Kluyveromyces lactis: one gene and its partner. The protein of the gene in region 2 purifies or fractionates together with the protein of the main gene of each other region. This does not show direct contact. Links are inferred from orthologs where the notes say so. Each region holds a gene or a part of one and is shown on either strand. Other genes may lie near its edges.

Region 1 (2,417 bases), on a different chromosome or scaffold from region 2:
TGTATCCAAAGAACGCACAGCGACAGAAACTTGTTCCTGGGCTTGCTTGATACGACGCACTACCTCGTTATGCTTCACTTTGCAAAAAGTGTACACTTTATCCAATTCAATTTCCAAGGACTCCAAAAACTGAGTCTCCAAATCCTCGTTCCATTTTCCGTTGTTAGCTTCCAAGGATTCCTGTAACTCCGTCTTCAAGTCATTGTAACTGATATAGTAATAACTGTACTCACGAATCAAAGATCGCTTCAAATGTTCACCAAATTTTACCATCGTTATCAGTATCAGCTATTTCAAAGGTCCTGATGCAAGTCTAACCCACTCAGAAGCCCTGATAACTACTTTATTCTAGGGTATCCCTTTTTTCCCTTATACTGTCACTTGGAAACATTGAAACTCATGTTCCTGATCTTTTTTCTCATTGTATTTCGGTCTGTTATATGTGATTTTTTTCTCCAAGCATTTAAACATTATAGATATTGTATTATGGTGTATAATAATTAGAGGCACGTGCGGGAGATGCATTCGAGAAGCGAGGTCACCTGACCTTCGTCAAGTCTTGATTCGCACTCTTCGACTATGCTATACAAATGGACCAAGTTTGTTGGTAATTGGTTCACTATTTGTAGTTTTTCTGCTTTGTATAGTGGGAAAGCATTTAATTCTTGCATTAGTGTTGAGAATTGGTCTGTAGTTAGGTTCAGCAGTGTGGATTTGTTGGCGTTATTGGGTACGGTCTTGTCCGACGTTTCTGGTTCTTCTGGGTCTTCTGCTGTAGTGGAACGCTGTGTTATGTACCTTACCGTGTCTCTGGTTATCGTTTGCAGTTCTGGATGGTAGTATGGTTTGTTGTGTTTCCTGTCTGATTTTGATCCAGAGGTCCATCGGTGTTGATTCTGTAATGATATGAGGAACTGCAAAGTTTCGTAGTCGCTCATAAAAGCGTTTTTTTCCTCAAGCACGCGCATTTTCTTGGAATTTTGTTATATGAGAAGCTTTTTACTTGGATAATTCAGTATAGGCCGATACAGTCTTTATTACTTGCTACTCTTTGATCTCAACTCAGCTCATCTCTTCTCTTTGCATGGCTTTCAATATATTCGAAGCGGTGAAAAATAATCCCGTGTATCATGATTTAGATGAACGAAACAAGTGCTCAGGGTATACGTATCCTGCTTTGTGCATACCAGTTGCATGGCTGATGCTGGTACCATAGCGATTAAGATGCACCTATTAAAATTCAACGAGGTTAGTTTATATTACAAAATGACTATTTATTAGAGAAGTAGAAGTGCTGGAATGATAGCAAGCAATTGCGGTAAATTGAAAGCAGCAGCGTTTTCTGACTGTGTGGATGTTAAAGCAGCTGATGAGCTTGTCTCGCCAGTGGCATACGATGTGATCTCTTCGTCAGCAGCGGTGGTAGTGACCAAAGATGAGAAACCTGTGGTCACAAGTTCTTCCGTGGAAGTTATTAGAGATTCAGTTGTATTCAACTGAGTTGAAGAAGATGATAGGGAAGTGGAGGAAGATGTTGTGTTCAATGCAGTAATACTGGATGATGAAGCACTGGTAGATGAAGCACTAGTTGTGTTCAAGGTGCTTTCAGTGGAAGTAGTTGGAATTGTGGTACTAGATTTAGAAGTCGTAGTGGGGGAGGATGAGGATAAGGATGAGGATGATGATGATGCGGATGAGGATGAGGATGAAGATGAGGATGAGGAAGTGGATGAAGATTTGGATGTAGATGGAGATGCACTTGTCTTGGTTGAAGATGAAGATGTGGAGGATGAGGAGGATGAAGATGAAGTGTCGTCTGATACGCTTCCACCAGAAGCTAACTTATCGAAATCTGCTACTCCTTGATCATATCTACCATACACCTCACCATCATTAGCTTCAATAGATTCCCAAGTACCATCGGTGCCTGAGTATGAGTATTCTGTACCAGTGGAGTAATCAACAACGATAACGTCTTTCAAATACATGCTGAATGGAGCTTTGGTATAATCGGTCAAACCACCTGCCCATTCAATGGTTCCGGGCTCGTTTTGGGAATCACCACCAGCCCAAATACCTGTGAAAATACGCATTGGAGACTCTGGGTATCCTTGACCATTGTCACTGGTGATAGTCCTTACCAGTGCACTGTCGACATAGATATTGATTTCATCCTTAGTCCAATCAATGGTATAATTGTGGTAAGAACCTTGAGGATCGTCCACCGAATGGAAAGCACCACGGTCAAATGTAGTAGTTTCACCCTTGGAGAAGAAATTGGATTGAACTTGAGTAGTATCAGTACCAGTCCATTCGATATCAATTTCATCAAGATCATCACTTTGCAAATAGAATGAGGAAATAATACCTTGACCACCGGCAGCCTTGGCAATCGCTTGAACTTTACCAAACATAAT
Region 2 (3,357 bases):
GTTGATTTGCACAAGTTCGAATAGTGTTAGGCAACTTTAGTTGTCTCGGAGTGATATACTTTGTTCATACATAGGTTCTATCTCATCGCATCTCATCTCAAAATTTTCTTCCTTCTAAAAAATTTCTTTTCACTCACGGTACGGAAAGAAGAAACCAGAGGCAAAAAGTGGGTTTAAGGCTCTTTAATATCTGAATAGGCAAAATGGTATACTGATGGTAGCTTATTATTGTGTTCCATAAATGAATAATAGTCCACACCAAACGAATATTTGTTTGCAATGTTTATAAATTATGTACGCCGTTTAAATATAGTTCCAAAAATATAATCGAAATGAAATTGATACACCAATTTAGTGTAAAATATTAAAATAAAAAAGAGCAAAAACAGACATCTGTATCAAGTAACGATATGTAAATAGCAGTTGGTATTCATATAATTTTCTTGAGTTTGATCTGATGGATATCGTACAAGAGAAGAGAAACAGTGACGACGTAGAAACTATTTTTGTCCAAAGAGACCGTTAATAGCATCGTAATTGATCTTCTTTGAGAAAGTCGTCTTTTGTAATAGATTCTTGACACCTCCAGCTGCGACAACATCTACAGCATCAGCGTCATCCACGGAAACATCAAGCGGTAGTCCGTCGACTTGAACTTTGACGATGCTTGCACTGGATTGGTTTCTATTAGTACGTTTGCTGCGTTTTTTTCGTAGCGAAGTATTCCCACTGGCCAAATCTGCTTCCTGTTTGAGTCTTTTTGATTCTTGTTCAATCAAGTAATCACCGTTGATATCAATCCAAATACGTTCTTTCAATTTGGAAGCTTCTTCATCTAACAAGTGAGAATCCAATTCTGCATCATCAACATCATCCAAATTTTCAGGATGATCGCTGACTTTTGAAAGCAGAGAAGCTGTGGTGGGTAATAAATGTAAATTTCTTGGTCTATATGGATCCTTTTCAAGACTATATCCATCAATTTCATCCAGGGAACGTTTCTTGTCTTTCTCAGTTTTGTGTAAGTCTTCTCCATCGATTCCATGCGTAGCTTTTATACGACTGAATTCAGCTTTTCTGCGTTCAGAAAGCTTCTTCAAATAATAAAGGACTTCTTTAGACGATAGTTCCTGCGCTCCGAGCACTTGAGTCAAAATTGGATTTCTTGACACGGCTTCCTCGCTTGTCTCCAACATCTCTTTAGTATCCAAAGAATCTTTTATTTTCTTTTCCTTTAGTCTGTTCTTATCGAAACTAGGAGGTTTCGATTCGGCACTTCTCTCACCCTCATTTACCTCAGTTTCATCATCACGGAACTCTTTCACGGAGAGCTTAGCTGATGTTGTATTCTTAAACTCATTCAATCTTTGCTGAAGCGTTTCCTCTGCAACATGAGATATTGCCACGATTTCAGAATGCGTTCTTCTCAAATTGTTCATTCTACAGGCAAGTAAGAGACATGCACCTGCGATACCAGCTGGTCTTCTCCCTTCATACATCCAATCTCTGGACATAGTTTGTGCCAGTTTCACAGCGTCCCTTATCACTTTAATCTTTTTATCACCAAGCTCCAATTTCTCCGCGAAATGTTGAATGAACAAAGATGGGTCAGCTAGAGGTAACTTAACTATTTGTAACTTCTTCGCTAGCTTCAAAAATGTGGCACCAATAGAATAAACACTCACTTGTAACCTTGATGAAAAGTCAATAAGCATGTGATGAGTACGTTCTTTACGACATGCGATGTACAAACAAGCGGCAATCACATTTTGTGATTTCCTACCTTGAACAAAATTATTACTCAAAGCCAATCTATACCATTGGAAAGCAGCATCAGTAACATATTCGGGAATATTTAACGCATAGGAGACAGCTTTCAACTTCCGCCTAGCGTTGTTCAAAGTAGTTTCTCTGGACATCAAAGCATTCTGACCGGAATGTGACATAAACGTTGGATGTGCCTGATTCGCACTGACAAAAGCACCCTGAATGACAGCTGCACCATTACTAGCCTCACCGAACGTGACTTCAGACACGATAGAGTTCTCTTCAGTGACTAAACCACATACTTTACAGATCAATTCATTAGTAGTATTACTAATATCACGGACAAAATCCGTCGAACCACAGTTCTTACACTTTCGTGACGAAACCTGTAAAGTGGATGCCATCCTCTTGAAGCTGGTTTCCTGGCCTGAATGTGCTTCTCAACTGTTATAACCCAGTTTTTTCGCTCTTCTTCTACTTGTGGGAGTGATGAAACCGGCGATATTTTGTTGTTTTCTAATGTCAACTTCTTTACATTCAAAAAAAAAAAAAAAACGCTCTTTCGATAATGATGAACTTATCATTACATATAGGGACAAGAACTTTGAACAGGACAGTATTCAAGGGTACTTTCACTATTCAAAGGTTGAAGATTGACATACTTATAAGCTAAACTTGTCAATTTCTTTTGTTGCTGTCAGGGAATACTTAGTGACCTTACTCGGCTAAACTATCCCTATATTATCCTGCTTGTGCTCAATTAGGGAAGAATGGGTATATCTCTATGGTTATGTCCATATGGACACAGTCCTGAATATGAGACTTTTAAAACTCTGATAGAGTCATTACAAACTTTATTCCCGAATTCTCCTGTATTTGAGCCCCATGTTACTGTGTGTAGTGGTCTCTCATGTGAGAACATGGAGGAAGTGCATAAGGTACTTGAGATGGCTCATCATGCTATAAATGCAGTAAAATCTAAAGTAGATAGTGAGAATGCGCTTGTCGAGTTTGATGGTTTCAATATTGGCAAGAAGTACTTTGAGAAATGCAGATTGGAGTGCAAACCAAACCCTATGTTGTACAGTCTCGCGAAGTTGATAAGATCGATGTTCGTCGGAGAATTGAACATTGATACCTGGTTATTTGAGGAATTCCATCCACATCTTTCGCTAGCCTACTCAGATATCTATCCGATGGACCAAGCAATGATACGGTTGATAAGGCAGAGAATTGAAGACTTATTTGATGTAACTACAGAAGAAATAGAGTCGCATAGCAGGGACCAAGACGCGTATAAATTACAACACACTCTCAAAGGATGGTCTTTCCCGTTGACTTTCAAAGTGGTCAGATGTGAAGGTCCTGTAGAAGAATGGGAAGTGCTATCAGAAGTGACAGTCCATGGATAAGGCAAGTCAATGTCATATAATACCAGTATATAAATACAAATATGCATAATAGTAATGTAATGGTGAAAACTTGAAAAAAAATGGTTTCAAATAGTATAAAAGGAAAAAAGGTTCTCTTTGAATAGCAAAGAGTATCGGGTTTATCACAATACATGTTTGTTTCTGGCTGCAGATAGGG

The links. The genes of interacting proteins can lie anywhere in the genome.
Region 1: the proteins of BRF1 (region 2) and RPC17 purify together in Saccharomyces cerevisiae (affinity purification with mass spectrometry; 3 studies listed by BioGRID, with this or other methods). This does not show direct contact. The link is inferred for Kluyveromyces lactis from reciprocal best matches to the Saccharomyces cerevisiae genes BRF1 and RPC17.

Annotation. Positions count from the first base shown.
Region 1 is NC_006042.1:2,114,253-2,116,669, forward strand, and holds RPC17 (DNA-directed RNA polymerase III subunit RPC17), read right to left. Parts: upstream 969-2,417; coding exon 501-968; downstream 1-500. Other genes in the region: VTC4 (Vtc4p), read right to left, coding at 1-273; CRH1 (transglycosylase), read right to left, coding at 1,278-2,417. UniProt on the Saccharomyces cerevisiae protein: DNA-dependent RNA polymerase catalyzes the transcription of DNA into RNA using the four ribonucleoside triphosphates as substrates. Specific peripheric component of RNA polymerase III which synthesizes small RNAs, such as 5S rRNA and tRNAs.
Region 2 is NC_006037.1:496,688-500,044, reverse strand, and holds BRF1 (transcription factor TFIIIB subunit BRF1), read right to left. Parts: upstream 2,172-3,357; coding exon 501-2,171; downstream 1-500. Other genes in the region: CPD1 (2',3'-cyclic-nucleotide 3'-phosphodiesterase), read left to right, coding at 2,538-3,179. UniProt on the Saccharomyces cerevisiae protein: General activator of RNA polymerase III transcription. Interacts with TBP. Binds to Pol III subunit C34 and to the TAU135 component of TFIIIC.